4 linked regions of the Lytechinus pictus genome follow. The main gene of each other region encodes a partner of the protein of the gene in region 4 in a complex. Links are inferred from orthologs where the notes say so. Each region holds a gene or a part of one and is shown on either strand. Other genes may lie near its edges.

What was found.
Region 1: ragulator complex protein LAMTOR5-like (region 4) and folliculin-like share a complex: the UniProt entries of both Homo sapiens proteins name them as parts of the lysosomal folliculin complex. The link is inferred for Lytechinus pictus from reciprocal best matches to the Homo sapiens genes LAMTOR5 and FLCN.
Region 2: ragulator complex protein LAMTOR5-like (region 4) and ragulator complex protein LAMTOR1-like share a complex: the UniProt entries of both Homo sapiens proteins name them as parts of the ragulator complex. The link is inferred for Lytechinus pictus from reciprocal best matches to the Homo sapiens genes LAMTOR5 and LAMTOR1.
Region 3: ragulator complex protein LAMTOR5-like (region 4) and ragulator complex protein LAMTOR3-like share a complex: the UniProt entries of both Homo sapiens proteins name them as parts of the ragulator complex. The link is inferred for Lytechinus pictus from reciprocal best matches to the Homo sapiens genes LAMTOR5 and LAMTOR3.

Annotation. Positions count from the first base shown.
Region 1 is NC_087254.1:2,675,575-2,684,268, forward strand, and holds the start of folliculin-like, read right to left. Parts: upstream 3,816-8,694; 5' UTR 3,709-3,815; intron 1-3,708. UniProt on the Homo sapiens protein: Multi-functional protein, involved in both the cellular response to amino acid availability and in the regulation of glycolysis.
Region 2 is NC_087249.1:39,305,260-39,313,720, reverse strand, and holds the start of ragulator complex protein LAMTOR1-like, read right to left. Parts: upstream 3,624-8,461; 5' UTR 3,276-3,623; coding exon 3,234-3,275; intron 158-3,233; coding exon 87-157; intron 1-86. UniProt on the Homo sapiens protein: Key component of the Ragulator complex, a multiprotein complex involved in amino acid sensing and activation of mTORC1, a signaling complex promoting cell growth in response to growth factors, energy levels, and amino acids.
Region 3 is NC_087251.1:16,374,783-16,383,410, reverse strand, and holds the start of ragulator complex protein LAMTOR3-like, read right to left. Parts: upstream 3,402-8,628; 5' UTR 3,194-3,401; coding exon 3,185-3,193; intron 1,372-3,184; coding exon 1,337-1,371; intron 803-1,336; coding exon 744-802; intron 1-743. UniProt on the Homo sapiens protein: As part of the Ragulator complex it is involved in amino acid sensing and activation of mTORC1, a signaling complex promoting cell growth in response to growth factors, energy levels, and amino acids.
Region 4 is NC_087247.1:51,474,413-51,482,388, forward strand, and holds the start of ragulator complex protein LAMTOR5-like, read right to left. Parts: upstream 3,236-7,976; 5' UTR 3,114-3,235; coding exon 3,079-3,113; intron 609-3,078; coding exon 547-608; intron 1-546. UniProt on the Homo sapiens protein: As part of the Ragulator complex it is involved in amino acid sensing and activation of mTORC1, a signaling complex promoting cell growth in response to growth factors, energy levels, and amino acids.

The sequences.
Region 1 (8,694 bases), on a different chromosome or scaffold from region 4:
TATCTTTCAAGTAGGATTATAGAAATAAGATTACTGAGCAGGAATTCTGATTTTTTTTTAGCTGTATTGGCCCATACATGTATATATCAGGATTATTATGTTATGGGCCAATAAAATTGAAGCAATATAATTGTGAAATTTTGTCTCGTACTTTATATGCACATGTGCATGCAGATGGAGGTGCGGTTTTACTTCGGGGGAGGGGGCATTGGGAGTGAAGCCCCCTCAAAAATTCCTCAAAATTTTTTTTACCACAAAGAAAAAAAGAAAGAAACGTAATGTAGACCCACTATGCTATGTATTGAATAATGCAGTATCCCATTCCTCCGATAGTCTCCCAAGGTATACATATAGGCCTATTGCCAGTGATTTCTTCTCCTTTTTGGTTTTCATTCTTAGTCGTGGCAATTATTCATTCATCCATGGAGGGAGCCCCCAATGTCCCACAGGTGTACAATGTCGAAAAATTTCTCAAGCCCTCAGAAGCCCTGCCAAATTTTTTAGTCTGTGAGGGCCCAATAATAGGTAAAATAAATTGCCAATTCATCTACCGCCACATGGTCTCACTTCATTTAGTCTAATAATGCCATTGCGTCCATCAACATTTTGTCTAAACAACCATTTGGTCCAATCATAACTTCGTCCAATCACCATTTCCACTCATTACCAGTTGGTCTAATATCCATTTCATTTTCATTCATTTTGCACAATGAACACTTAATCCAATTAGACCAAATGGTATATATATGGACTAAATGGCTATTGGACCAACTGGTTATTAGACAAAATGGTGAGTGGACGAAATGGCAATTAGACCATGAGGATAGTGGACGAACTGATGGTAAAACAAATGATGGTAGACGAGTCCCCTTTCCAGGTCAATAACAGCTCGCGCTTCGTGCTCGCATTATAAATTCAGTGAGATGCGTATTGGGTTTCATGAATTTGTAACTAAATTATTACTGGTATATATATTATTGTCTTTTAAAAAAAACATTATTTGTTTAGACGTTATGAGAGAGATACATACATATATTCATTTATTAAAATATATTTATATTGTCGCTAATGCACAGAATAGAAAAAAAATATAACCGAAGTCTAGTTTTATACATGTAGTAACTCACCAGTAGCGTAATGAGCCAACAAAAAAATGGAGGGGGCCAGACAAGGATGACATTTATTTTCCTTTCCTTTATTCTTTTTTTTTCATTGGTAGGGAGAATGGGGGGGGGGGATCCGTGACCCCTAGCACGCCCCTCCCCCATCTGTACGCCAGTGATGATCATACTTTCATTCGAAACAAATTGAAAAAAAGGTGCAATGGTAGATAAGGCCCAAGACGTAATGAAAATTATTGATAAAATATTCATAATTATAATGCTGATAAATACAATAAATCAAGCGGTCACCAATGAAAATAAACAGCGTGAAAGAACAAAACGGGAATGAGGGAGAGAAAGAGAGAGAGCCCGCCTGAATGTATGGTGTATAAGTTGCTCGAAAGCAGAAGAGATATTTTGTCCAGCACCCCCCCCCAAATTCTCTCCCCGCTCAAGACCGGAGTGAAACCAATGATAATAATATATGAAAAAAAAAATCAAATCTCAATGGGGAGTGTGTCATTCCCCTTCTTCGTTACAATTTGTCAAGTGGCAGCGGCAGGGAGAACAATTTTGTTTTTTTTAAGAAGAAAGCTGTGATGATAGGGGGAGAATAAAATAAATAAAACATTAACGAATAACAAGAATGAAACAACAAAACAATTTGTATCAGGATGAATTTCTTATCATTTAACATAGACCAACTTGGAGAAATAAGATGTTCATGCAAATGTCGTATAATCGGAGAACATAACGGCGGAGCAATTGTCGATAATCGGAGCAGATGTCGGCGGAGCAATTATCGGCGGAGCAGATGTCGATGGAGCAAATATCGGCGGAGCAAGTGTCGACGGAGCAACTGTCGGCGGAGCAACTGTCCGGAGCAATTGTCGGCGGAGCAATTGTCGTGGAACCCGAAAAGCACCCTAAACACGTATTTTCCATATTCTGAAAATGCACCCCTTAACAAGTATTGGCGTGTGATACCCTAGTATTGGAAACAAAACGATACTCTTGCCAAGTATTCCCTGAATTGACGCCCTAAACAAGTACAGCAATATATGTCACGGACGTCGGTTTACCTTTACCTACATCATTGGGTTTAGTACAGCCCCACCTCCCACATCTCGTGCAAATCGTACTCTAATCACGTAGTGATGACTCTGGCTTGGGGCAAAAAGTACATCCTTTATAAAACATTTTAGTCTCAATTTTTTCACCCTCGCAAATTTGACCCTAAACACGTAACTTTCCTAGTGTAATTTTCAGTTAATTAGTTTTTGACACCCTGGCTTATTACGTTATGTACGTAACATGCCCTATCTTGAAAAAGACATCCTTTTTACGTTTTTTTGGTCGCGCATGATATCCACTCGTCAATGTAACTGGCCCCCGGGTCATCAACTCAACATCGACAAGCTCATTCAAGAAGGCCATTGACAGAACCTTCTTATCCTCACTCCGCCCTCTCTCACCCGATGCGTTTATGCCCAGGAGGGCCCTGCATCGTATAAATCCAGATCCAGACATCGAATTTGATGTATTTGAAAGTGGACACCTATATCTTTATACTTAAAGCCATGATTATAAAATAACTGCAGATATCGTCACATGTCAAATAAAAGATTAGGATCATCTCTGGTCAGATTTAATGAAATACTACCGCATGTATAAACCCTCATCCCCAGTGGGGGATACAACTTAATTTCCGACATTGATTTCATTTTAAAACAATTCATTAAAAAAACAAGAAAAATATTATGAAAAGACGGGGAAAATCTCCGATGTTTCCTGTTGTTCTTCGCCAAGCTACGTACATGATGGCGCATATCCTGGATGAGTTGATCTCACTTTAACTTAGACTCTAACGTTATGTCGTTAAGCCAGTATAGTGGGTACCCGGTAGGATGGGGGGTTGGGTGTCCGGACACTTTATATTTTTGAAGCCTTCTTTTTTGTCTTAAGATTACACTAAAAATATGAATTCAATAGTTGTTGTAATCATTTTCTATTTTGTTCTCTAGGCCTATATAATATTTTCTAACATTTTGTACTAAAAGTAAAAATTGATGAAACTTCGCTTGTAATTTTTTCCAATTGACTTTCTAAAATTGATCGTCCAGACACACAACCTGTCCGGACACACAACGACTGGGTATACCGGCAATTTGAAGGTGCCGATTCATTCATAGACACAGCAACGACAACACACGCGTACGACCATAATTTTGTAAAGATTAAGTTCACACGCATGCGTACTCTTATTCTGAACTTCCGAAGACGCAAGTCATGAATATTTATATTGGCTTCCACAAGAATCCACAAGAACTGCAGTGGGAAAAATAATTTCGCGCCCAGCTCCAACTCCAAGCCCCCCCCCCCCCCCCAAGCCAAGGCAGCCGCAGCTCAGATCAGTGGAGTCAGGCGAGGCTCTCCCCAAGGGCCCGAAGACTTAGGGCAGGAGCTAGCGACCAAGGCCGCTCCAGGCGCAACTTCGCCCGGGAACTTCGCTTTCTGGGAGCTCCGCCGCGATCTCTCAACCAAATTTTTAAAACCAAAATTATTACGAGTAAAAATGTTAGTTTCTCCGAAAGTATCAACTTACACACACATGAGCTGTTGAACAAATGTCTATTTTTCAGGAAATCAAAAGGACAAGAAGATATGGTATGGATGGTTTCTACATTATTATGCGGTATGTTGTTTATTGATGGTGGTGGCGCTATTAAAAAAGAGCAGCAGCGCGCAGATACCGTATTCATGCCAGTAAATACGACTATCATCATAATCACGTGCATATGTGTCATACACGGTGTCAATGCGGTGTTAAGTTTGGTGTCAATAGTTACAGTTGAGACGAGTTGAGAGCAGTAAGTCTAATGCTTGAAGAAGAAGAAGGAGGAGGAGAAGAATAAGAATTAAAAAGAAGAAGGAGGAGGAGGTAAAGAAGAAGAAGAAGAAGAATTAAGAAGAAGCTAGAAGAAGATTGATTCAATTCAATCTTCTTTTAGTGCAACCGTATAAATTTTACACGAGTTGGATTATGTACAGATAAAAATGATTGACAATTATACAATTCATAGTACAAAGATTGATAATTTATATTTAAAACGAAATAAAAATTATATCAAAAAGTATCTTAAAAATACCAAAAGTAAGGAATTATTATTACATTAAAAAAAGAGAAACACGTATACACATTCACAAAACCAAGAAATACTGTCTTAAATTGCATGCCCATACTGCCATTAACTCAATCCAATAAAAAAGGAATTTGAAGTTAAAGATAAATTATCAGTGCAAACTATATAATTGTGTTTTATCCGATTGGTGCTGAAATAATCGAGATGAGGATGAATTGTATAACATCTAAAATGCATACACTGTTAGAAAATTTATCCTTAAAATAAAAGAAGTTCCTGCAGCAGAGTCTCGAGAACACCTGTAATCTTACCAGATTGCGTAATCTTACAGGAAATTGGTATTTGGTGTATGGAACCTAAAAAATTTCCTTAAAGAAAACACCCTTTTCCCCTTTTTAAACAGACCTGTTCTGTTAACGGGCAGAAAAATTCCTGTTTTATGAATCTACAGAATGATTCTAAATTGCTTTCTGCAAAATCTTTTTTTTCCTGTAAAATCAGGGTTTTTAACAGTGTAGGAGTGTAAACAATTTTAAACAGCATATTTATTTGTGTTTTTTTTTTTAAAATTGCATTGAATCCAAACCGAATTCTAATTTTTCATTGTTTAGATTGGAAAATATGATTTTGTTTAGTTGGGTAAACAAAATCAATGGGTTATTGATGCATTCAAATTCTTTTAGTGTTATGTAAATCTACAGATTTGATTTTAAAGGACAAGTCCACCCCAACAAAAACTTGATTTGAATAAAAAGATAAAAATTCAACAAGCATAACACTGAAAATTTCATCAAAATCGGATGTAAAATAAGAAAGTTATGACCTTTTAAAGTTTCGCTTCATTTCACAAAACAGTTATATGCACATCTCGGTCGGTATGCAAATGAGGGAACTGATGACATCACTCACTCACTATTTCTTTTGTATTTTATTATATGAAATATGAAATATTTTGATTTTCTCATCATTGTCATGTGAAATGAAGTTTCATTCCTCCCTGAACACGTGGAATTCCATTATGTTAATATTTTGTGCTTCAGGCAGGGAGGTCCTAATCATCAAATTCGTAAAAATTGAAATATTGTATAATTCAAACAATAAAAAACAAAAGAAATAGTGAGTGAATGACATCACCGACTCTCTCATTTGGATGTAACTGGCTCGTTCATATAACTATTTTTTTAAAAATAAGCGAAACTTTGAAATGTCATAACTTTCTTATTTTACATCCGATTTTGATGAAATTTTCAGCATTGTGCTTGTCTGATTTTTCTCTATTGATTCAAATTAACATTTTTCAGAGGTGGACTTGACCTTTAACAAATTGTATGTAAAATGCGTTCACTAAGATCCGTAGGTTGTGGAGAGTAGTTATATATGAATCCAACTTCCAGCTGACACGGTTTTCTTGTCAGGATTTCCGTATAGTCTACGTTTACAGACCCTATAAGCTCTCTATGACATTAAAACGGAAACATAGTTCGTTACACGACTCCTTTCTCTCTCGAGCTTGGTCCCCAAGGTAATTAATAACAAACTGTCCACTTCTAAACAGGGGGTAACCAAAAACTCGAAAACAACCTAATTTCATTTTTAAGTTTCGAAACACCATAAAAAAAATTGTCATATATTCTTGTTCAGGTCCTGTACAACTTTCTAAAACATAAATTAGAGTCCACAAATGTCAATATTTTCGAAGTAACGTATCCGCACAAAGCTTGAAGATTGGGATCGAGTTCATTATCATGTATCCATCTGAACTGAAAACTTAGTCCTAGTTATCAGTCAGACGGCAGGTCCCAAGAAAGTGGCTTCTTCATGACTTGAGATGTTTTGCATATTTAATGAGTTTGATGCGGATCAAAACACCTCTTTTCGTTCGGTCATTGCTGCTCTAATTGCGCATCGAATTTCATGATTTTGGCATCATTGTAAAGAAGAAGAATAATTCTTTTAGGTCATGTGTTTGAATTTATTCAAAAATTTTGTAATATAAGTTAAAATTTTGATCTAAAATATGCTACAAAATATTTATTTTCACCTGACAAAAGATGCTATTTTCACACTTTATTTTTGTTTGAGCCCAAATGATTTTTTGGTCATGATAAAGCTGAACATGTATGCTTTAAAATGGTAAAGGTTTCAAAATAAGAATTGGTTTAATCGGGTCAAGATCACACCTTTCATTGGCCAAGTACATAAAGCAGCTTGAAAACAAGAATAATGCACTCTGATTAGTCAAAGAGACCACACACTGGCAAATTCCAACGGTTCCAGTGCCTGGGTTCATGGGAAGGTCACACTTCCCATGTGGTAATCTCCTCAAATTACCCGCGCCTGTTGTTCTGTGAACCTTATCCAACCAATCAGAACTTTGGATTTCATGCAAGTACAAAATTTCATAAATCTCGTCTTGTACCTTGGTGGGAAAAGTGTGATCTTGACCCGATTAAAAGGTGCCGCATATTAAGAGTGGCATTGAAAGTACAGAAGTTCAGCTTTATGATGATATACATATCATTGAGGCTCAAAATAAAAAGTTTTGCACAATTTGCAAAAGAAAACAGAGGAAGAAAATTCAGTTTTGAGGCACATTTTCAGGCCAGAAATTTACTTATTTAACAAAATATTGTATAGAAAATAAATAACCAACATGAAAGAATAACATTTACTCTATCTGATGGTGCAATAATATTTCATTTAACTTGAGGTTAAAACAGGTAAATTCTTAGAGAAAGAAAATCTCACGAATCACGAGATTTTGCAAGGAGGAGGATTCAGCCACGAGATGATTTGGATGAATCTGGCCTTTTTGCTCATTAGCATAGGGACCTGCGGTCTGACTGTTATAGTTTGTAGGAAACTCATGTCTCAAAATAATCCCGCAGGTATGTAGCAGGTCCTCTGTCACGGGAGGGATACCGTCTCGCTGAAGTTTCTTTTTCAGGTGCGGTTTCTCCTATGGCAGTGGGTAATTGTGCATTAGTTGTACCCCGTGCTGTTGCACCATCTGTTGCATCGTCAGCTGGACTGTTGTCTGATGGCTCTCCAGGTACATCGTCATTGGGTGGAATGTTTTCTGAGGAGCTTTCCAAAGTGTGGTCGTCTGCCGAAGCTTCATATGGTTCACCTGCAAGGGTGCACCTGCAGCCTGGCTTCAGTCTGGTGGATCTCCAGGCACATCCTCATCGGGCACGACGTCTTCTGGGGAACTTTCAGTATCATGGTCAGTTGTCAACGTGTCATCTTCTGGTCTCTCAGATGCCTCTTCACCTGCTGGCGTCTGGTCTGGTGGGTTTTCAGGCACCTCGCCATCTGGCTGGATGTCTGCTGGGGAGTCGGATGTGTTGTGATTATGCATGCTGACACCACCTGGCGAACCTCTCTGCTCCAAAGTCTCCACCACGGGGTCTGAATTCCCAAGTCGGAAGCCCAATATCTTGATAGGGTTTCAGCCTATCAATGTGTACTTCCAATGGTTTAGACTTCCGTGACTGTTGAATCCTAACTGTGACATCTGACAGGCGAGTGACCACTAGGTAAGTGCCAAGCCATCTTGGTTGCAGTTTTGGGCAGCGACCCTTTTCTCTGGTCTTCTTTCGAAGCCATGCAAATCGCCCAACGGCATAGGGAGCTGTATGCACCTTCCTGTCGGAGAACGACTTCTGCTCGCTGTCTTCAAGGTTTCTCTCGCTACCTTGTGAGCTATTTCTAGATGATTCCGGAACCTGGCACTGTAGTCTGTTTGGTCGTCATCTCCGTCGGTCTCGGGAGGAGGGAGATCCCAGCCCATAGGCATGGGATTGTCTCTCGCCCTAACATTAACATATTGGGTGTTTCACCGGTTGCATCACCTGTGCTGATCGAATGCTGTACCAGACCGGTCTTCCCCAGGTCATTTGCAACTTGTGAAAAGATATCTCCAAAATCCTATAGCAATGCCGCCACTTTTCCACGCTGGTGCTCAGGGAGTTGCTCTGTACTTCGTTCATAGAGTTCTTCTGGGTGCTTAGGTACAGAGTTCGACATCTGGTCAGACTGAGGGGCACGGGCTTCCTCTATACCTTCTGCATCAGCTCGAACCACAGCCGCGGCTACTAGCAGGCCCTTCTTGCTCAATTCTGTAAAAAAATGCAGGGGCTTCCAACAATGCGACCCCGCTAATGGTCTCGGAGTCACATCTAGTCGCTTCTCCTTTGAGAACAACATAATGCCCGGCGGGGACAATATTGGTTTCGGAGTCTACGGATCTGCAGCAAAATTGTCTGCGCTCTCGGTCCTTACAGGGGATAGACTGCCAAGGTGTTCGTAGTTCCATCCTACGACAGTCTAATTCAGCATGCATCTGAATTAACAGGTCAAGACCGATGATACCCTCATTCTTCAATGTAGCCACGGACAGTTGGACCATGAAGACCAATCCTCCAATGTGCAATTCCATTGCAGCT
Region 2 (8,461 bases), on a different chromosome or scaffold from region 4:
ACTTTCCTCAAGAGAAGGGTTTCCACAGGAAACTGCTATATACCCCATGTGTGTCTCTATAAAATGAAATGAAATCATTGACTAACCTGTTCACAGGCCTACTGGGTGTATTCCTTGCTGGGTCTAATAAGCGAGTTGTTTCACCAGGGTGGTTTTCCTAAACATGATTAAGATGTTGAATTAATTATCATAATACCTGTTATTAGAGAACTCTCACATCATATTGACTTGAACAAAGAAAAAAAAACAAGAAAGCAAAATGCTACATCAACCAAAACCTGATCAATTTTTTTTTTAAATCAAAGAATTCTAGAAGAATTGTTTTTCTGATAAAGTGAGTGAAATGCATCAATATGGTCATACAAGTTCACTAAATGCTACTTTTGTATTTCATTTAATGAATTCACACTATAATTTCTTGGTCCAGTAAATATCATCATGAATTGACACCTCATTTACCTTTAATGTAGGGTAGCAAGGGTTTCGAGTCAATAATTATTTCAGATCAATTACAGTCATCTAAGAAAGCCAAAAGATTGAATTTGAATTTTTTTGTGTGCCTCTGGTGCAGTGTTATAATGCTAGAGTGGTCGGACCCAACCGGCAAGACAGATTTCTGACCACCATTAATTTCAAATGAAATGTGCTTCAAACACAACTCCTTGCAAAGAAGGATGTACGTTTGCATTAATTTTTTTTTCTTTAACCTTGTTTTATTTGCATTTTTTTTCAAAGATTTGACAATGTCAGACAGTTCTTACATGGTTTTAATTCACTTTTGGCTTTAAGACAACTAACTTGGCCTGAAAAAAAACTTTGTATTGCCATGAAAGCTATTTCAGTGGGGTTCGGTTCTGGTCAATACAATTTTGATCAATTCTACAAATTTCCTACCTTTTTATCCCTCTTTCTCTCTCATAAAAAATTGATTCTTATCGCTCTGGACACTGCGCCTACTCTCCCTCACGTAGCATTTGTAATACGCAATAATCTTAACTTAATGCACGCAAGGTGGTCGGTTTCAAAAGAGGTGGTCGACATGTGGTGGACTTCGAGAATCCAATCTTGAAGGAGGCAGATCAACCCAGAAGAAAAAGAAGATGACTTTAAGATTATTTAGACTTGGAGTCGAGTCTTGGGTAAAACTAGGACCCTAACTAGTGCTGCAAGTCAGGTGGCATGTTCGGGTTCTGTTCGGTTCGGCAGGGTTCGGCAAATAATTTCCGAACTTTGGTTCGGTTCGGGGTTCGGCAATAAATGCGCAATTAAATTATCGACATATAACTAAGGATTGCCAACCCTCGAAAAAATTAACTATTGAAATTTCTGTCGTATATTTATGATAAATTTTGTTTTTAAAAAGAATGGTTATAAAAATTGCTGCATAACTTTCTTTTATTTATTTCAATCTTGAAACCAAAAATAAGAGTCATTTCTACTTTCATTTTTAAATTGAATAAAAAAAATAAATAATAATATTGATAACGAGAGAATGAGGACAGAAACAGAATTACAAAGAACAGAATATTATTCGTTCATTGATTATTCCATGTAGATATGATCATGATCGATTACAATGCCATTGCAAACGCAGCTTCTCCGATTGGAAAGTGTTGATCGGGAATGTCGGAACAGTAGACAAACAACCTCCACTCAACTGTTATTATACTGGTAAAATTCACATTCCAAAGAATATGAAATCTTTTAGAAAGTCCCTATTTTCTGAAAAGTGGTTAAATCTGGTCAATCAATTACTTTAAAAAGATAAAATATCAGTCCATTCTTGGTCCCGAAAGATCGACACTCGAGTGACTTCAAACATATTTCCAACATGAAAATGAGTACATGGGACTGTACTATGTATTTTAGTGTTATGAAATCACTCGGCGTTGATCGTCAGAACCAAGACGGAACTGAAAATTTATCATTTCATTTTCAGTAAATGACCAGATTAAACCACTTTTTAGAAAATATTGACAATGGAAAAACATTTCAAATTTGGAATATGAATTTTACCAGCGTAATAGCAACTGAGAGCAGGTTGTTTGGACTTCCTGTTTCAATTTTCCTTATCAACCATTTCCGGTACACGATCAGGGAACATGCGTTGACTTGCTTTGAATTTTTATCTTTTCTGTTTTTTCTAACCTCATTCCTTCATCTCTTATTTATTTATCTTTAATATTGATATGTATATTTCAGAAGGTGAAATATACATACTTTACCATTACTTTGTCAGTCACAAGGAATGAATTTATGTCATTTTTTTATATTATTACATACAAAACAATTACATGGACGCCCGATCACAATCATGATCGATTACACTTATACGTAATTCAACTACACTTTTTAACCGAGTTTAGCTTAAAATGTCCCCACATTTTATGAGAAAAATAAATAAATTCATGGTAATAAAAAAATTGAGACTGATAAAAATTCAATCAAAGACGAGACCGAAGCTGTCATACTTTGTCATTTACGAGGAATGAATTTATGTCTTGTCCTTTTTCTTAATTAAATAGAAAACAATTAGGTCCGATTACGATAACGATCGATTAAGCAATACGTAATTCAACCACACTTTTATACCGAGTAAAGCTTCAAATGTCCCCTCATTTAATGAAGAAAAAATATATTCATGTTAATAAAATATTCTCGATATTGCCCGATGTTTACGCCGCCATCTTGTTTCCTATTGTTCTTCGCCAACGTTACGCAACGCACGCGTCTGTAACGTTGGCGAAGAACAATAGGAAACAAGATGGCGGCGTAAACATCGGGCAAGTCTCTTCCGTCTTTTCACAATATTTTTCTCATTTTTTTGATGAATTCTTGTTTAAAAATAACAACGGGAGCGTAGAAATGTCGGAAATGAAGTTTTATCCCATGTACATGATTTAGGGCTAGATCTTTTAGAAGGAAAGTAGAAATCTCGGGGGTGAAAGTTTCAGGTTTTGGGGTCCTGGCTTCATGTAGGTGAATGAGAAGGAAGACCTGGCTTCATTGAGAGTAAGCCTACGTTAGTAAATGCTTTTTACTCTCAAGAAGCCGCCTAGCTACCCCCCCCCCCCCCGGCAACCGAAGACTTTCAAAATAGAAAAGTCTTTAGTTTAGATTTAGGGCCTAGCATGCCTAGTTTCTTTAACTAAGTTTAGATCTTCTCTTTACTTTAGATTTAGAACTAGAACTAGAAGTCAAACATTCATGACGTTCATTTAGACTGCACTCACTTGCAATTTGCTATCATCATCTTTTCCATAGCAGCAACCCATTTTGTTTGATTCTATCCGAGATCAGGGTCGTCTTAATTCTTCTGATTCTACGTCTGTGTTGCAGGAGTACTGGCGCTGGCTGAATTCAAAATCAAATTTATTGAATGTTTGGCCCCACTTAGTCCGGCTATCGTGAAGACAAGAGTCTTGCTGTCCTTGAAGTTGAACTATGAAGTTGAGGCAGCGTATGAGGAACTCAGTCATCAAATTAATAAGTTCAATTCCTTCAAAGGTCCACTTTTAAGTCATTTTGATCAGAACGTTGTACTTCTTCCGAGCTTCTTGTGCATTGTGATGCCTGCTCTCGCACTGCACTGATGACTAATGCACCGCAACTTAACTGTACCTGTAACTAGAGAATTAGCTCTTGTGCAATTCGAATTACGATATCACGTTATTATGAAGTCAGCGTTGGACGTGAGTGCACAAGAATTGCATGCAACTAGTATAGTAATAGCCTCATGTACGTACGCAGTGACTTGTTGCAGTCATATGATTTCCCAGCCGTAGTCTGTTTAATGTCTTTGCAAGTAATTGTTTGTGTTTAGTGTTAAGTAATTTTCTAGATATTATCAATAATTGCATATACATGTACATGTATTTTTTTAAATGAGGCAAATAAATCAATTACTGACCCAAATTATTTTTTTCTTTCGGAAAACCAATCCTTTATTTTATTCATGGAATTCATTTATCTATCCCAACGTCTTGAACAAGTACTATGAACAAAAATCTTAGAAAAACATAGATCGATGGGAAAAGGAAGTGGGAGCTATGGGAAAGGAGGGAAAAGAAATATAGAAGAAAAAGCGGATAAAATGAGAAAAGAAGAAGAAGGGAGAAATTCAAAAGGAAACAGATGAAGAGAGAAAAGAAATAGGAGAAAAACGACTATACAAAGATTAAGGGAAAAGAAATGTAAAATATGGTAAAAGTATAAAATAAAATAAAATGAAAAGAGGAAATATCAGAATTAAATAAGATCAATAATGTAAGGAAAACAAAAACAGAAAAGAAATAGAACGATAAAAACATCAATACAAAGAATACTGGGAAATAAAGAGTTTGAAAATATGGTAAAAGGAAAAAATGAAAAGTGAGAAAATATAAGAAATAAAAGATAGAGAAAAGCATAGGCGGATCCCGGGGGGCAAGGGACCCGCCCCCCCCCCCCCCCCCCCCCCATTGGAGGAGCAAAAAAAGCAACAAAAAAAAGGGAAAGAAAAAAAAGAAGGGGAAAGAAAGGAGGAAAACAGAAGAGCAAAATAAGAGGGGGGAGACAATTGAAAAAGATAACGTCCGGGGAATATTTGGAAAATGATTTAAAATTATATATTTCATGTCACTTTATTTCGCTCTCACATAGCCTGTTCGATGAGATACATATATTGCTCAATAGGCTGATATATGTAGCTTAAAATTTCATTATGAGGTTTTGAAGTCAATACAAAACATATTTCAGCTCGGACATCAAGCTTTCATCTCTGTAAAATGTCCGTTTTGTGGTGTGAATATCCTTTGCAGCTTTTTGCGCTGTGAGCTCGCATTACTAGTATTTGATTTGCCAAATAGGCCTATACATATTGTCTTTGTATATTCCATAAGATTCTTTACAGCGGCGTACCCAGGATTTTCCAAATGGGGGGCAAATTGTTTGGAGGATATTTCGTCCGTGAAAAAATTGACAAGCAAAAAAAAAAAAAAAAGGGTCTTCAACTTCAAAAGAGGGGGCATACGTCGAATTTCTTTGCATTTTTTTTATTCCCTGGATCAGTTGTGACTCGTCAGAGGGGCAGTATGCCCCCTGCCCCCCCCCCCTTAGGTACGCTAGTGATTCTTTATATATTAATTCTCTAACCCGGCGCGGATCCAGGGGGCACAGGGGGCACGTGCCCCCCCCCCCCCCCTTGAGAAGCAAAATTAAAATTTGTTATGTAAAAATTATGCCATTAAAACAGAGGTGTGCCCCCTCTTTTGAAATTGAAGACCTTTTTTTTTTGGCTTGTCAAAATTTTCCTCCGAATTTGCCCCCCCCCCCCCCCCCTTTGGAAAATTCTGGTTCCGCCCCTGTCTATAACAAACTACTTAAAATTCCCCTTTTATGACAGTTTATCAAAAATTGATTAATAGTTAAAAATATATCAACTCATAAATCCTATATTCATGATTACAAAAGTGCTTAAAATATCCAGGTTTCAGGCCTCAATGTCAACAAATATCACTCACTTATTAGGCTTATTACATTTATAAATATGATAATTAAATTTTCATAAATTCCTATAATAACGAAATAGTCCCTTTTTCAGAAAGGAATATCAACAAGTTTCATATCGCGCTTAGGAAGAGGAAGACAGTCATCCTTTTCATCTGATGAAAAAATGTCCTTAGTCCTAGAATATCCAGGTACTAGGTCAAAATAATAATAAAGATATCAGCTCGCGCTTCGCATTCGCATCATTATACCTTGGTCACATTTGCTCTACGGCGGCCGTACGGCGAGTCGAAAACAGCCGTTTTAACATCTTTTGTACCAACTACATATAGGTGGTTTGAATTAAAATTAATAAAACCGCTGTTTTCGACTCGCCGTACGGCCGCCGTAGAGCAAATGTGACCAAGGTATAAGTGCTATCCACATACACTTTCACAAAATCCCTACAGTGCTTTAGACAGTGCTTAAATTTACCCTTTTCATACCGTTTTTTTTTTCCGCTCGCATTATTGATTTTCATGATAAAAATAAAATGTATTCAGAATGCCCAGATTCTGTCTAACTCTAAAACACGCGCACACAATCATGTTTATTGAAATACGCAGCCAGTGATCTTTATTCAAAACATGCTGAAATTATCCAGTTTGCGCTCGCATTATATAATGTAGGAACTTCCTTTTTCTTTTTACAAAACATGAGTGTCCCATTTTAGGTCTGAAATCTCAATTTTTTCCGCTCGCACTTCGCGCTCGCATCCGCAGTTTTATACCTATACCGTTTATTTCAAAAAAGCGCTTAGAATGTCAATTTTTTAGGTCAGAATGTCAAAAATTTTCAGCTCGCGCTTCGCGCTCGTATTATCTAAAAGTTGAAATATTTATCGTCTTAAATGATGGCTAACTGCAAATCGTCCTTATATAACAGGTCCCTTTTCGATCAAGCCAGAACCCATATAAAAAAAATTCTGCTCGCGCTTCTAGTTGCATACGCATCTTGTTCAGGTTCGCAAGCATTGCCCAAAATATTCAATTTTCAGGAAAAAATACATGAAATTCCAAAAAGATTTCAGCTCGCGCTTTGCGCTCGCACTATTCAAATAGGGCTAATGAGATTATTACATTTTTTTATGTTGTTTTATAAGAATAAAGCTAAGAAATGACTGTTAAGACCTCGGCGTTTTGCCCCCCCCCCCCCCAATTTTTTACGACCAAGAAAATGGGGAGAAAAGGAAAAAGATAAGTGTGAAATATAGGCCTATAATTTTTCAAATGTCATGTCAAAATTTATCAAAAACTGTGATTTTTGTAATTAAAATGTCAAAAATTTTGCTTGCTTCTTATAAATTTTACTTCATATGCCGTATCAAGCCCCCCCCCCCCCCCCCACTGAGACAAACCCCTTCCGAAAGAAACAAACAAAAATAAACCTTGAGCGGCCGATCGGGGAAAATATGGGTGAAAAAAATTCGCCACCCCCCCCCCCCCTATTGGCGGGAGCTGGATCCGCCCCTGAATATGGATTTTGGCTCCTGATTTCAGCTTGATCGATTAAGGTATTGTCACTGCTATTCTTGAAAACTTGATTTTCCAAAAGGGGAGGGGGCACATTTCCAGAATAAAATTTGACATGCAAAAGAAATAAAAAGGTTTTCAACAATAAATTAAGGTCATTTCGTCCACGAAAAAAATTGATGATAGTAGTTATAATAATAGTAATGCTAATAATAATAATAATAATGATAATAATATGTATGATTATTGTCTCATGTGCATGGAATTTTATTGAAACGACATAGACGTAAGCAATCACCACGAATCCATTTACGAAAGCAACGAATGTCGTCCATTTCAGTTGCTGATGTTGATATGCATTGGGGCGAAACAATACGAGCGCACAATGGCGGGAAATTTGAATTTGAATAGCTGATCATGGGGCAGGCGAGAATGAATGTATTTTGCCAATACAGGATCAGGTTAGAACTAGCCGTAAATGCTTGTAGAACTAAGAAAGATGTCCAACCAGAATTTAAACAGCAGATCTCCAATAAGAGGACAGCCGACAGATTTAATTTTCCTGATATTACTGAACATGAAAGGAAGGGATGGAAACTTCAGTGATTTCAGTCATTAGTTTGGTGATAACCAGGTAAGTAAATCAGTGTTAAAAAACTTAAGAAACCTTGTTAAAAATCGCCCAAAGAAATAGACGTTTGCCAAAATATGCACATCCTTCTCCTTAAGCGATTTTTAAGGTTTTTAGGATCATTTCGAAGATTTGAAGTTAACTTATGTGTAGATTTATCTTGTTTATACATACAAGAGAACTGTATTAATTGGGTCAACTCCATGAACGCCTACATGGACGGTGTTACGAATCTACACTGCATGCATGGGGACTTTGATGATGTCACCCACTTAATCTTTTTTTTGTGTGTATTTTAAATGGAATATATGGAATATGGAATTATTTCCTCATAATGAAATAACATGTTGAATTGTTATTAGTGCAACCTATAATCCAATGAACGAGTAATAGCTTATACAATTGTCAAATCTTCGAAATGTATTATCATTTACAATAAATACAAATAAATATAATCATATGCGTGATATCATTGGCTCTAATTTGCATTTCCTGTGATGTGCCTTCAGCCTAAACTGCTGTTTTGTAAAAATGAATAAATGTTAAAATTGTAGCTTTCTTAATTTACATCCGAATTTTGATGAAATTTTCAGCATCATGCTCTTTATTTTTGTTTTTCTCTCTTTATTCAAATCAACTTTTTTGCTTTGAAGGACTAGACCTTTAAACAGACAATAAATTGACTTTAGTTAAAGAAAGCTTTTCATGCAGGGGCGGTGGAACCGAGGGGGGCAGGGGCAAACAAAATGTCCAGCCATTCCATGTAACTAGACACCAGGGGCTTAAAATATCAAGTTGAACCAATTAAAAAAAATGATTGTTTGGCTAGGTA
Region 3 (8,628 bases), on a different chromosome or scaffold from region 4:
TACAAACACAGGGGATTACATTGCTCTAACTATACAAGACCCTTAAAAAGATTAAAAGCAAACTCTTTGCTCCTTCTACACCACCAAATCAAAATTTTACAAATAAAGGCAAAGTCCACCCCAAGCAACAATTGATCTGAATAAATAAAAAAATAATTGAACAAGCATATTATTGAAAATTGCATAAAAATTGGATGAAAGATAATAATACTTTTAAGATTTATTTCTTTTCACATAACAGTTACATGTACAGTAGGCAAAGCACAGGTAATGCAAGTAAGATTATGCATTCATAATTTCTTTTGTAATTTGTTACAAAGAAGTTTTCAATTAATTTACAATTCAATTATGCAAAATGTGGGTTTCTCCATCTTGAACATGTCGATTCAGCTATTTTCTTTCTTACAATTCAACCAAAAGACTTTTGTATAAACTTTACACAATTACGGATTAGTGATATTTGATAATAAACAATCAGTATCATAATATGAATATAAAATAAATAGTGCTTGTATGTCTCTTGCACCCCATCTTGATCTGCCGCCATTCTCATTTTCATACTTTAATTTTTAGCGCTTTAAAAAAATTTTTTTTTAATTAATATCAATTTTAATTGGCCGTAGATTCTGCTTTTAAAGCTACATGTAGAAGAAGAAAAAAAGTTTGAACCACATAAAACTTTGCCAATTGCCAAGGCATTTTCAACCCAAAATATATTAAAAACTGAACGCAGTAGGACTTACCTTTAATAACAGGGACACCATCTCTATCTGTAATTACTATGGCTTCTAGCCCTTCAACCCTGAATATGATTCAGACAGAAATATGAAATCATCTTTCAAAATTTGACATTGGTAAATAGAAAGACTTGGGATAAATTAAAAAATTATTCATTTCAAATATTTTGCTACCAATCATCATTCACTTATGAGAAGGACATGTATTTCATCTTTATCATATACTGACATACAAATATTGGTCATAAAGAATGAGTTGAGAGGCTGCATTCATGTTGATGTGGAGGACTTTGCTCTAGACCCTTAGTCTAGCATGCCATTTTAGTCTGTAAATAAATGCAATATTTTTATAGAAAGGTGAAGGAATATTGGATATTTTTGCAATTCAAAAAGTTTTAATCAATATTGAATGAAAGAAAGATACAAGACATCTCATAGATGCAAATCATCTCATCAACAATGCATTTTTTTCTTTACATCCTCCCCATCTTTACACTTTTTGCCCTTGATCACTTGAAAATCTACCACTCCCATTAAAGACCAACCCCGATTACAAAAAAATCAAAATAATGTTTATGAAACAGTATTTGAATACTCACATTTGCAAAAGACTCCACAAATATCTCTTCAGTTGCTGCAACCAAAAATAACATTTGAAACAATTTTAAATGGAACCATGTTTAAACTTTTGAAATAGAAGCTGTTTTCATAGTTGTACAAACTTTCAAATTGTGATCAAGTGCTACAATTTTCAGTTCCTAATTTATATAAATTACTATGTCCCGCTATGCATATTAACGCAGTTATGAATAATCAGAGTAACTGATATATCAATTATACCTGTACAGGTACTTTTAAAGATTCCTGTCACAATTTGCTAAACCACAGCTTTAGACAAGAGTTTAAATTAAACCTGAAGCCTCTGTATTTGGTGCATTAGAGGTGTCATCCCAGAAAACAAGGATATCCTCATAAACAAACATCAATCATGTCTCGATAAAATGAGGTTGTCCTTATTACTGAAGACAGTTTTTGTTTTCACTTCCGCCTGTAGGACATACAGTATTAGGGAATTTGAGTGCTAAAAATAGATTCTGTGACCTCCGTTCCCACAGTTCACCGTCTATTTTTTACTAAATAATCTTGTTATAAACCTGATAAGTTTATATTGTCTATCACTCTTGATTAATGACGACCACATGATGACACTTGGCAGGTGAATGAACTTTCTAGATTTCTTATGTGGAGAAATCATTGTAAAAAAGACAATACCTGTAGTGTAAAACAACGTCTATATGTATAGTGAGTGATTGTATTACCGACCGGCCTTGTATTACCGAACGTGCGCATCATACGCATCAGAAAATAATTCCATATGCTCAAAAATTTGCAACATCCTTTCAAAGAGAACTTGAATAGAAAGATGATGAAAAATTGTCAAAAACACAATTTCAAAGTCTTAATATTCGAAAAACAATAAGATATGGTCAAAATAGCGCATCAGTGACTTTGTTGTTTTGGTTGTTTTCTCAACTTTTCCCATAGAAAACACACGTTCGGTAATACGATACCTTTTTCAAGTGACCAAAATATTTCACATGCGAAGAGGGGTCCGATTGGAAGCTAATATCGTAAATAGGAAAAACGATTTCGGCCAAATTTTTACATATTTATATTTTGTAGGTAATTGTGTATTCATGGTGAAAGTTTGGTGAATTTTATGAGAATAGTGTGTTTGATATGATTGAATTCATGAAAAGTGTTCGGTAATACGATCCACTACCATACAGGGACGATCCTCATTACATATTACAAACATGATGGCAAACAAAGAAAACCCCGGCTGATCCTGCATGTTTGTCATAAAAATTCTGTATTTTCCATAACGTTATATACCAATTTGGAAAGGTGGTAAGCTTCAATATTATTTGCTCTTTTGTTTTACTGCGCACCTTTTTGCCCATGCACATAATACAACTTACAAGAGGGAATTAAGCAGTAATCAAGGAGGGTGATCAAGCTTCCCCTTTTAGATGCTGTAGCTAAGCGCCAGTCAAAGTTCCAACATACGAGCGCAATGGCCGATATCTGGGCTAACGTTAATAAACGAGAATCGTGAATGTTTGATCTAGATTTCTGGACTAGAATCTAGAATCAACTAGGTCTAGGGCTAGGCTAGATCTATTATCATCTATATTTTTTAAAAGTTCACAAGATATTCAGTAGGTCTGGTGGATTTAAGCCTTAAGGCCGCTGAGCATAATACAGAATTTGGCCGAATGAATTATTCTAACTCTACTCTTATATGATTCTCAGATTTTGATGAAATTGTCATATTATCAGAAGACAGACAAATGTTAATGACTGAATATATCAATGTACGCTCTGCGACGATTTATATTACAGTCCCACGTATTTTACTATTTGTATGGAAAATGATTACTCACCTCAACCATCTTCACGTCTGCCAAGCTTTATTCGTCGATTCTCACAAATTTTCGAAGCACTGCTCGATTAACATTAAGTATTCACTTATGTGTCAATATTATTTCATTTCATAACTTAAAATTAGACATCGAATTTTACTTTCTGACTCCACAATACCTCTTTCACTACTTCAGCTTCAGTCGTGAGTCTCGTGATCTCTGCTGTATAGTCTGCAACAAAGCCACGTAACTTTTTACTTTTATTTTCCTCGGCTTTGAAAGTTTGGCAAAAAAAAGAAAAAAAAAGTGCCAGGATATAATTTGATATAAATTTTGTTACGTAAAACGATTTCAGATATTAGAATTAGTAAATCTTTGACTCTCCAATAGTCTGTACATTATATTTTTTTTTTTCAGAGTAGCATGAAAATACAGGGATGATCATACAATTTTACACGCTTTAACTGGAGGGGAGGGAATCCCACCATTATGTGCACTGCCTTTATTTCATCTTTGTAGCAAACATCTGCGCGTCAACCACAAAGTCCTATATAATCCGCCACTGAGATTTTTAACGAAGATCCACACAGTTTTTTTTTCATTATCTATTTATTTTTCTTTTACATATGCATCCCAATACTGGCAAATCATTCACCGCCAGTGTGCAATGCTCGATAAAAAAAGGCCTCAAAAAGCGATAATAACAAATAATGTTATGTAAGAGCGTAATTTACAACTCATTAAATACTTGTTCAACAGTTCGATTGTTATTGCATAAATTGCTTTTTTATAATTGGAAGATCAAATGGCAGTAAACCAATTTTATTTTTTATTCTTATATTAAATATGTGCGTCCATTTTTATAGTCTGAATTTGTTGACTCATTAGTGCAAACACTACATACGTTTATCCCCACCGTGACGTTGGATAGCCTAGAAAATCTTGTTGTTTTGGATCTTTAGAATGTAGCATAATTTTCTTTGGTTATTTCTCTATATGAGAAATTCAATAGGGGACAATAAGTAATGACTAGAACTAAGGTAAAGCGGGTGTTAAGGTGTTCCTCTCCGATCTCCACTTATTTCAGGTCTCATTGTACGAGATATATAAATGGCAAAAAGAAGCTGCTAAAAACTGCTTATCTAATAAAAGAGAGCCAATGGAGTAAATTAGAAAGTCAAAAGGGGCCTAAGCTTTCGATCCTAGCAGATATATAAATGATAATAGTTAAAGCAAGGAAGCAACATTGACTGAGTTTAGGCCAAATAACTTGGAGTAAATTGTTATAAACCCAAATGGGACATTTTTCATTTTAAGTAAATGTGTTTAACTAGACTAGAGAACCTGTAATACTTTATGTTGCATTTTAATCAGACGAAGGTTGAATCCTTTTGGGTATTTCAGTTATAGAAATACAAAGGCACGTATCTCCAGTCAAGTGAATCATATCTTGACCATATTTCAGAGCTCCTGTCTTACAACTGAACGTCTGCGTTTTAATTTTCAACAAATTTCTTCAAGCTCTATATACGCTGATTATCATATACATACCTGATATTGAGACATGATATTACATCAGTGAAATGAGCATGTACATGTATATTATTTTGTGACTCTAGCGCCATCTTTCTTTAGAAAGGACTGATAGGTCTTTATCATCATACATTGATCATTTTTGTAATGAATATAGCCTATATTAACCTTTCTTTCCCTTTATTAGCGAAAAAAGATCCTCGATGAAAGTTATTAACTTTCGTTATGATTCTTAACAAAAAAGTGGAAATGCAGAATTTTATTATAATACAATTTTTTTATATAGGATCACGTAATGACAAAATCACACAAAAGGGGGGGGGGGAGTAATCGACATGAACCAGAGAAAATGTATTGTATCCTTCCATTTTTTTCAGTGTGTGAATTTTTATGTTTTTTTTGTTGTTGAAATAATTATGAACAATTCATTTGTGTCAGTGAGATTTATCATCAGGGCAATAAAGTGAATTCTGAGTCCCTAAAAGGCAATGAGTGTAGTTTCGTATGATTGTATGATCAAATTGATTTTTTTTTTTCGTTGTGCAGATTTTCTTTTGTCCAGGCAGACATTCTCAATTTCCTCTTTGGAGACACCACGGAAATGGGGAAAACAATGCAAAGGCGATGCGGATTTGATTCTTTTATAGGTTTAAGGTTAAAATGTCCCCATAAAGCCACAAATAACACAAATAGTATTAAATGCAACAACATGAAATGTGAATAAAGAAAGCGGATAAATGTCACATATTTTTCAATTTGTCAAAATGAAGTACAAGACGAAAGTACTATTTTGGTTAACAGGGGGGGGGGGGCGTATGAACTGTCCTCAATATTTGCCAAAATTACTTTCCTATCATTTATAACCCCATTCTGTTACTGACACTGTCAGCCACCTATTTCTGTTTTGGAGAGAGCTCGAAAACTCAATCATTTCTTCTTTTTTTTTGAATATTTTTTTTTTTTTTTTTTTTTTTTTTTTGGGGGGGGGGGGTCAGATTTTATTAATAGAAGCTAGGGCTGTTTGGGAGTAATAACTTCTGTCAACAATATTGGTGAGTTTTGTGTGTCTCCCATCCAAGATCTCGTATCTTTCTTCATGGAATTAAAAATATGATTCATTAAATTTCACTAACTCATTTTTTAATGTTTTGACAATGAGATAATCAAATATGTTACAATTGCATACAGAAAGTATCAATCTCAAGTCACATAAAATGGTCTAGTCTTCTGTCCGGTTTTGGGAAGCCCTCATTATATGGCTGCAGGTGCATGACGTACACGACATTTGCACCGGTCTTAATATCTCAGAGGGCATATGGTTTGGGCTACAAGGATTGTAATAGAGTATTTGGTTCAGAATAATGTAAAGATAAGGATAAGAATATATTTAGTTTTGGAGGTTTGATTTCATGTTTGGCTTAAAGTGCAGATTTTCCATCGGAGCAATTGTCGCCGGATCAACTGGAACCGGCATGAATAATAATGTTTTGAACCGAATATCTCTGTGAACTTTACCCGACACAATTCAACAAACTTTGTTTTAAGAAAATGCAGTATACCATCTTTCGTGTTTGGCAGTCATCTGGTGTAAAGATTATAGTGTTTATATCTTGGCAATATAGTCATCGATATATAAACATATCGATGATCTCATCACCTTTCAGTATATCACTTTTCCGTTTGTGGTTTGAAAACCGGGAACTTTTTCAGTGTGAACATAAGATAAACTGTTAAAAATATAAATGATAGCAAAAAGTTCATTTCTTGAACCCCGTTGTTCCTCCTTATATACATAAAGGGAATAATTCTCACCCGAAACACAGGATTATTGTTATATCAATGGCGTATTTTTCCATAAACTTTTAGGGGATGAAATTTTGATGCGACACACAATGATTTTGAAATATACGAGTAAGAAGGCCCTCTAGGCAAAAAGGTAATGATTTTGACATAAAGATGAATGCTGTGAGAAGTTATTTGTCCCATGTATAAAAGGGTCTGCGAATGGGCAAAGAAAATAATTTCAAAACAGCCAGAGATGAAAGAAAAATAATACAATGATTTAATTGTACAAATACCGTGATTTTACAAATACATGCACTCTTAAAATAGTTGGATGTTGTTTGAAGGTTTGCATGGTGGCATAATCGCTGATGTGGTTTACGGTACACCATGTGGAGTGTTATAGAAGAAGAAAAGAAATGGATAGGCGAGAAAGTGAAAATTTGAGAGTAGAGTAATCTTTCTTGAATGTAGTCCTGGAAAGGACTGTAAACCAGAAGAGACTGATGATTTGAAAACAGCTTGAGTAGTATGATGGATGAGGAGATGCTGGCTTGAGTCGACGAGTAGAGATGATGAGTAGAAGCAGTAGAGAGACTCGACGTATCGGGCAGGTTGACTGTCAGAGACTCGACGTTTCGGGCAGGTTGACTGTCAGAGACTTCCCGAAACGTCGAGTCTCTCTACTGCTTCTTCTCATCATCTCTACTCGTCGACTCAAGCCAGCATCTCCTCATCCATCCTACTACTCAAGCTGTTTTCAAATCATCAATCTCTACTGGTTTACAGTCTTTTTCAGGACTACATTCAAGAAAGATTACTCTACTCTCAAATTCCCACTTTCTCGCCTATCCATTTCTTTTCTTCTACTATCCACTGTTTCTATAACACTCCACATGGTGTACCGTAAACCACATCAGCGATTAAAATAGTTGGGCAAAAAATGCCCAACTTTTAACCAACCCTGCATGAAAATAATTTCAAAACAGCCAGAGATAAAAGAAAAATAATGCAATAATTTAAATGTACAAATACCGTGATTTTTACAAATACATGCACTCTTAAAATAGTTGGGCAAAAAAATGCCCAACTTTTAACCAACCCTGCATGTCCACACAACTATTGGTTAAAATCTGCCCAAATTGGGTAATTAAACTAATAATTTGGTAATAAATTTGGTCAATTGGATAATAATTGCTCAGAATTATTTTTTACCGACATACATTACCCAACTATAGTGGACGGTATGTTGCCCAACATTTTAAATGTGTGGTAATTGACAAAGACCATGAGTAGAGATTGAATTTTGCCAAATTGGATTGGTTTATTTCGAATTGAAACCTCAGTGAAGTATATGGATTGAAACAATCGCCCTTTAAGCTCTTATACAATTATATTCCAACGCTTGTGGTCCGATCTACACATCTATCGCTATATGTAAAGATTTCTGTATAGCATATTTAGTAAAGGTGGGGAAAGCTATAAAAATTACATTCAAATTTTGTGAGAGAATAGGCTCTATTGGAAATAGAGCTTTAATTCCATTAAAGCTGTAATTTTGTTACATATTTCAATAAAAAAAAATCCCTTATGAAAATATGTTATCGAACAAAGATGATGATTATGAAAAACATACAAACTTTGCTCTACCTATATAGCTGTATTACATCCTATCTACTTCCAACATCTCTTTAAATGAACTTGTCATGTAAGCACTGAATTTATTCTTAGTTCAAATTACATTATTTTACTGAGCACGATCGAACAAAAAAAGATATATACTTTAATTTTAAAAAGACAAATAATATGATAATGATAAAAAAAAAACGTTCCCTCGCTATTTCACATGCGACTGTTTAGAAGTGTTGCCAAACTCATTACACATGCATGCTTTACATTTTGTAAAATGGTAATTGACGAATGAATGAGGTGTGATAATTTAATCAATCATTCATTTTTACGGCCGTAATTTTGTTTTAATGTGCGCTGCTTTTTTTCATAGTTATGAAAACGGTAGATTCATTTTGGACTGAAATTTTCCTGCTACCTTAACACATATGTTATGTATATCAAGAGAAAGCAATTTTTACTTTCACATGATAAAAAGTATCACATATAGATATTCAATTTTAAACACACGGAAACATTTC
Region 4 (7,976 bases):
TCCGGGTTTAGAACTAAGAAGTCCATGAAGTATCCAGAATCTATTTAAAGAATACAAGACAAAGCATCTAATCACTTTGACAAGATGCAAAGAGGTACTCCTGGCTGAAAAATAATTGTATCTAAAGAAATAAAGTGAAATTCACCAAGCAAAACACTGAAAATCGAAATTTGATAATAAATAATTAAGTTTTGAATTCTAAACTTTAGCAATAGTTTGTGAAAACAGTTATCTACATGCTGTCATGAATATGCAACAGGCGAGCTGATGATGTCATGTCCCAACATTCCCTTCTCTTACATCATTACATGAAATTAAACCATACTTCATATTTTCATACATGTGTGTACTACCTTGTAAAAAATATGTAGCAGCAAGGATTTTCTGATACAATAAATCAGTTGTCAATCCATTTTTTCCTCATCCATAGAGGATAAAAATATAATTTTATATAATTTCATTCTCACCCCCCCCCCCCCCTGTTGAACTCTCCGTGTATCACATCATAATTGTCTCCCACAAAGTTTAATGTTGGACCATACTTACCACTGTAACAAAGTCCCTGTTTGTCAGCACAAAGAACTCCCATAACTCCAGGGGCATCCATTCTAAGAAAAATAGGAAAATAGACATGACAAATATATTGAAATTTATGCTGGTTGCCAAAATCTAATAGTTCCCTGACATCAATAAACAACTATGAGGCAACAACAATTTCACTGAAGTAACTCAAAAACTTACTGTATCTTATAAAATATTTGTGCTATCATGATAAATTTGATATAAAACAAATGAGTATTTAATGCCCCTTCATCACATTGCTTTGTCATCAGGAGCTGATGAATATTTAGGTGTAATTTTTTTCCCAAAGAATCTTCATAAATTAGATAAATTAGAATGAAAACTTGACAAAAACATTTCATACCTGTGCTAGTTTCTTCTCAACACAAACATTTCAGATTACACTTTTTTGTTCAGTGGTGACACATCATGACAGAAAATGTAATATAAATCATAGATTTGACATTTATATATTTTTATGAAACAATGTTTGAAAATATAATATCAAACAATAGAACACATTTGGCACGAATATTACTTTTTTTCTTCAAAGAAAATTCCACCTGAAATACACTTTAATTCCAACTGCATCCCAATCATGTGAAAGAGCTTAACACACTCTTTTATCTTTTATTTGATACCAAATTTGTCATGGTAGTATTTATATTTCTGAATATATAGTAAATTTTACGATTTTTGGCAAGTGAACGAATTTCAATGAATTCCATGGGTGTATGTAAACTTTTGGCCTCAACTGTGTAAGGGCGAAGTCTATGAATGGGTTTATTCCGTTATAATACACATTTAGACTTTAAGTCAAAGGTAGAGGGCGTTAAGGCGCATTGCGAACATTGAAAGAAGACAAATAATTTGCCTTAAATGCAGATGTAGAAAGATATATATATATACGCACTCACAGTGCAACTGCGTCCAACAGTAGAGGAAACCCATTTCCAGATATAAATTTCACAATTATTAAATATGTTTTAACTATAAATTTGATACTTATGGTAGGAGTGGAATCTCATCTTTAATTTGAGACCAACAGCATAGCAAATCACGCATGGTGGGTAAAAAACAATATTAAGGTCTTTAAGAAACAATTTGCGCAGAAACTCACGTAAAAATCCGAATAGACTCTTCAGGGATCAGTGAAAGAAACTTCACAAAGAATCCGAAAGAAATGCTAACGAGTCAATTATCGAATAAGCATGGTTGTCGTACACGAACCAATCTTGTCCAATTTTTCTGCACAACCTGATTTTTACATTAAAATTTCAAACTCATCTTGCTTATTAATGCGCAAAGTGTTTGTCACATATTAGGTATAAAAATGTAGAGGAATGATTGATTGTATGATGACATAAATGGAACATAATTAATTTGCCCTTGAAGAAAAATGATGTGGGGAACCCATTTTCCTTTTTTGTGGGATGCAGTGTAAATCTGGAGAAATAATTAATCTGCAAACTGAAACTGATGGGTTTAAAATTTAAGGAATATTTTTAAAAAAGGAAAAAACAATACAGGTTCAGATATGAGCAAAAGAAAATGTTTGTACAATATTAATGAAATGCACACTAACCTCGCATTTAGTGTGAGTTACATACATCTAAACCCAACTTGCCCGAAAGATACATGTACTTGCTCCTAAGCACTGCTTAGGAGTAAGTATCTTTCAGAATTTGCTAAGCAAAGTTCTGAAAACTTCATTTTTTTCCACATCCAGATATTTTATAGATCTAATTGGGCCTATGATTTCTTTATTCACAGGTTATATCATAACCTTGTTCATTGAATTGGTTCATTAAATGAGTGTTCACAGGCTTAAGATTTGTAAATGTCCAAAATGAAGTCATACCTGTTCATTTTTTAATATCTCTTTGTCTGATAGGGGTCTATGTTTTCCGTAATTATGAAGCTACATGAGCTAACCAAATCGTTGTTCTTGTTAACCAAATATCAACTGAATGAAATTGAGTCTGAGGATTTTTACTACGTTAATAAATAATAGCATGAGTGAGTGGCTAGTACTTTTATCATGGAGCTATAAGCCTATAATTCTTGGACTCGTAATCACATGAACAAACAAGGACCTTAACTCCCTTGATTTCTGCCGTCAGCAAAACAAAAACATAATTTCGAACAAAAACCACCCAAGGGTTCATTACATGCCGCCGCGCACAGAAAAATCAAGCCATAGAAGTCGTGTGTTGTGGACCCAAGAAGTGAGATCCCAGCACGCGCGACCCACTAGTTAGAAATCCACTGCCAAACGCGGTTCGTGGTGCGAGGCTAGTATACTAATACTAACCTCGCAATACGCGTGAGTGAACAAAAACTAGAACATAGAAGCTTACTGCTTTACATGAAATTGAACGCACGGGACTGGTATAAACTATAATTTCCATGTAAATATCCCCGCATACGACCTCGAAAAATTGAGTCTCCCTCACAATTTAAGAAAAATTACTATATAGTAATACTATACAGTATTAAATCAAGTTAAATACTCACGTGTCGTCTAAAAGTTTGTCGAGATTTTGTTCCATTTTTTAAAGAGAGTTTTCAATTTCAGACGGATCACGATTTATTGATACATGTTCTACTTTGTCATGTGACCGCGGAATATCATGTGATCGACCGTGCAGCTGTCCCTATATTCGTAGTCTGCGGGTACAGACCAAAATTTGCACTTAAATTAAAAAAAAAAGATGGTATCTACAGAAGTCTATCTGTATTTTCTGTACCTGGTACCGAGGATTTATAGCCATATAATTTTCATTTTTATCAGGTAGTCTAAAAAAACAACAACAGAGAACAGAGCACCATAATACGTTTCGATGAAGGGGGGGGGGGGGGGGCGGCCGGGGCCAGCTCCTGCGCCGAACGGAGCACCAGCCTCGATGCTCGAATCCATATTTTTTAAAGGTGTTTCTATTAATTTGCCCCCCCCCCCAAAAAAAAAAAAAAAAAAATGAAGAAGAAGAAGAATCGGGTAGCCTATCAACTCTATCTTGCTCTAGCGCATCGAAGGGGCGTTGAGAAAAAATTCACAAAAAAAAACACCTAAGTTTGTCATCCTTTTTGGCCACACACAAGAAAACTGACAAAGAAAGTGGTATTCCGGGGTGAAAATAATGATATGAACAGATAAAGAAAAATCAGACAAACACAGCACTGAAAATATGATCAAAATCGGACAAGGAATAACGAAGTTATTACAGATTTGCATTATATCACAGCTAGTCCTAAAGCGCATGTCTTCATTAAAGGACAAGTCCACCCCAACAAAGAGTTGATTTGAATAAAAAGAGAAAACTCCAACAAGCATAACACTGAAAATTTCATCAAAATCGGATGTAAAATAAGAAAGTTATGACATTTTAAAGTTTCGCTTAATTTCACAAAACAGTTATATGCACATCCTGGCTGGTATGCAAATGAGGAGACTATGATGTCATCCACTAACTATTTCTTTTGTATTTTATTATATGAAATATTCTAATTTGTTCCTCATTGTCAAGTGATACAACTATTAATTCCTCCCTGAACATGTGGAATTAGCATATTGTTCAATACTATATGGTTCATTCAAGTTGGTCCTTATGGTCAAATCTATAAAAAATGAAATATTGTATAATTCAAACAATAAAGAACAAAAGAAAAAGTGAGTGAAGGACATCATCGACTGACTCACCAAGTTGTGCATATCACTGTTTTGTGAAAAATAAGCGAAACTTTGAAATGTCATAACTTTCTTGTTTTACATCCGATTTTGATGAAATTTTCAGCACTATGCTAGTTAGATTTTCTCTATTTATTCAAGACAGCATTTTCCTAGGGTGGACTTGACCTTTAATATACAATGAGGAAACCGATGATGTGATATCCCCATCTGTTCTTTGTATTTTATTACATGAAAATGTGTTCATTCATATTTTGTACCACAAGAACTAAAAAAATTGGATTAAAAACTGGTTTAACGCATTAAATACTCATTGCTGCAACTGACTTTATTATGTGGTGAACATAATCATACACACATGCATGAAAATATGAAGTTATTATGATTTCATGTAATAATAACATAAGACAAGTGGAATGCCTCTGGCCGTCTCACCTGCATCACGCGATTCAATATAGCAGCAGTGCTGATTTTGAAAACTACTATAACTCGCACAAGATGTTCAGTGATACTTGGTTACTCTTATTTCCACGTTTTATGAACTAGACCAATACACTTATAGAGATATGATGGCAATTCAACAAGTACCCCCAACGTGGCCAAAGTTCTTTGACCTTACATGACCTTTGACCTTGATCATGTGACCTGAAACTCGCACAGGATGTTCAGTGATACTTGATTACTATTATGTCCAAGTTCTATGAACTAGACCAACACACTTTCAAATTTATGGCTGTAATTCAACAAATACCCCAATTTGGCCAAAGTTCATTGACCCTAAATGACCTTTGACCTTGATCATGTGACCTGAAACTTGCACAGGATGTTCAGTAATACTTGATTACTAGTATGTCCAAGTTTCATGAATCAGATCCATAAACTTTCAAAGTTATGATGGTAATTCAACAGATACCCCCAATTCGGCCAAAGTTCATTGACCCTAAATGACCTTTGACCTTGGTCATGTGATGTGAAACTCATGCAGGATGTTCAGTGATACTTGATTAACCTTATGTATAAGTTTCATGAACTAGGTCCATATATTTTCTAAGTTATGATGACATTTCAAAAACTTAACCTTAGGTTAAGATTTTGATGTTGATTCCCCCAACATGGTCTAAGTTCATTGACCCTAAATGACCTTTGACCTTGGTCATGTGACATGAAACTCAGGCAGGATGTTTAGTAATACTTGATTAACCTTATGGCCAAGTTTCATGAACTAGGTCCATATACTTTCTAAGTTATGCTGTCATTTCAAAAACTTAACCTCAGGTTAAGATTTGGTGTTGACGCCGCCGCCGCCGCCGTCGGAAAAGCGGCGCCTATAGTCTCACTCTGCTATGCAGGTGAGACAAAAATGAAGTGTGGCTATGACACCTAATGAATGTGCATATAACTCTTTTACAAAATATTGCTAAATTTTGAAATTCTATAATTTTATTATTTGTAATCAGATTTTGATGAAATTTTCAGAACTTGTTTGCTTGATGAATTTTACTCTATCATTTTCAGCCCGAAGTACCCCTTTAAGGAAAACACCTGACGATATACAAGTCATGATGTCGAAGTGACATTCACTGAGCAACGAGCTTCAATCCAATAATAAACATGCATGAAATTGTTAAATTTTCTGTTCTCTCCGATCCGAGTCTATCTCCCCGCCCCCCCCCCCCCCCTTCCGCTCCCTCTCTTCTCTCTTTCTATCTATCTTTCCCCATTTCACTCACTTTCTCGCCTTCCCTCCTTTCTAACAGTATCTTTTTTTAACATCTTCTTTCTCTCAGTTGTTTTCCCCCCAATTTTTAGATGTGTAAGATGCAGGGGGTAGCGTGTGTATGTAATGACGACCAGCCAAGTCAACTCCCCCTTGTTTTCTTATACTATCTAATAAATGATTCATTTTACTTTTAATGTGTTATACGGTCATGTTGGGCCCTCATTCACAAATACAATTATTTCCTATAGGAATAAAAAAATCTTCCACTGATTGCTTGTATTGTATTTGCAGAATTATTTTCTTTGTATTTTTTATGATTGGTGAAATAAACTAAAAACTTGAAGATTTGGGAAGAAATTAGTAGCAACAGCAGTTATCACTGTACAGACTGAACCAAAGTACATTGTAGAAATATACAATAAGACTCTTCACACACAATATAAATTACAACGAATGCAGTATATACTGTGGCAAGATATTTATTTTTCAATAATTCAACACAATTATCACCTTACTGGTAATATAGTTTGTTTTGAAAATTGGTGAATCGGAACAGTAGTATGGTCCGACGTTTTGGAGCTGACAAAAAGGCAAATATGTCATTTTGTCCGATGTCGATGTCACGGACGAAACTGTTGTTTCAATTCACCGACTTTCGATAAAGACTTCATTGTAATGAAGGGCATTTGACAATAGATTCTCCCCGTTCCAGATACTGTTCTGCATAGCGATTGCCATAACTCCCTATAATGAGTGACGCAATACGCCGTAAATTGTGACATCAGATGAGACTATCGATGGTGTTTTGGACTTATAATTATTTCATATGATTGATATGATATTAGTTAGGATAAATTTAGTTATGATATCTTTAATAATTATATAATACATCATAATGATTTTCTATCCTTCGGTATATATTCTCTACGACAAAACAGAACACTACAAAAAAAATAAGTAATTACAATCTAATTCATTAAAGGGGTATATATTCTAGCCAGAAAACCAAACTCCACACTAAATTTTCTTTAAATTTGACATGGAGCAATAATGTTAAGCCATTTTAATGTTTAGCATTATACATGTCATCATGAATAATTATGTACTAATCGAGCTGATGGATTTCACCCCCCCCCCCTACACACACACTTATTCTTTTGTACTTTATTATGTGAAATAATGTTTATTCACCATCGATAAGAATGTAAAAATATAATTGAACTGAACTGAATAGAATAACTTTATTGTCCATAAAGGAAATTCTTTTTTCACTGGTTTATACACACATGTATATACACAGAACAAAACAAAATATGATGAAAACATGTCAACATGAGGAAATAATTCCAACTCAGGTATACATGGTTCACTCAAAAATGTACAATACACAAGTATTTGAAATACAAGTCAATGTTAAAGTCGGGTTTAGGAATAAATTCATATTCTAGAATAATCATGTTTAGTTATACAAGTACTGTAGTTATCGGCAAGAAGTAATGGATCATGCTGATAGGATTGACTACTGTTCTGATGTATAAGATCATCACTGCTAAAACTTATACAGCCCACCTATTAGAAATTCATGACGGCATGCAGGCAGTTTGTTAGTCATGACTTGTGTTTTCAGAAAATGTATTGCTGAATAATGGGATTCACTAATTTCGTTTAAGGTCAAGTCCGAAACAAAGTTGATTTTAATAAAAAGAGAAAAACCAAACGAGCATAACACTCAAAATTTCATCAAAATCGGATGCAAAATAAGAAAGTTATGAAATTTTTCACTTTTGCTTTATTTCACACAATAGTTATATGCTCATCCCGGTCGGAATGCAAAAGAGGGAAATGATGACATCACTCACTCACTTTTTCTTTTGTATTTTATTTTAATAAATATGAAATATTCTAATTTTCTCCCCATTGTCCTGTAAAACAAAGTTTTATTTCTCACTGAACATGTGGAATCACCATTGTTTAACATTATATGGTTCAGTCAAGCTGGTCCTTATT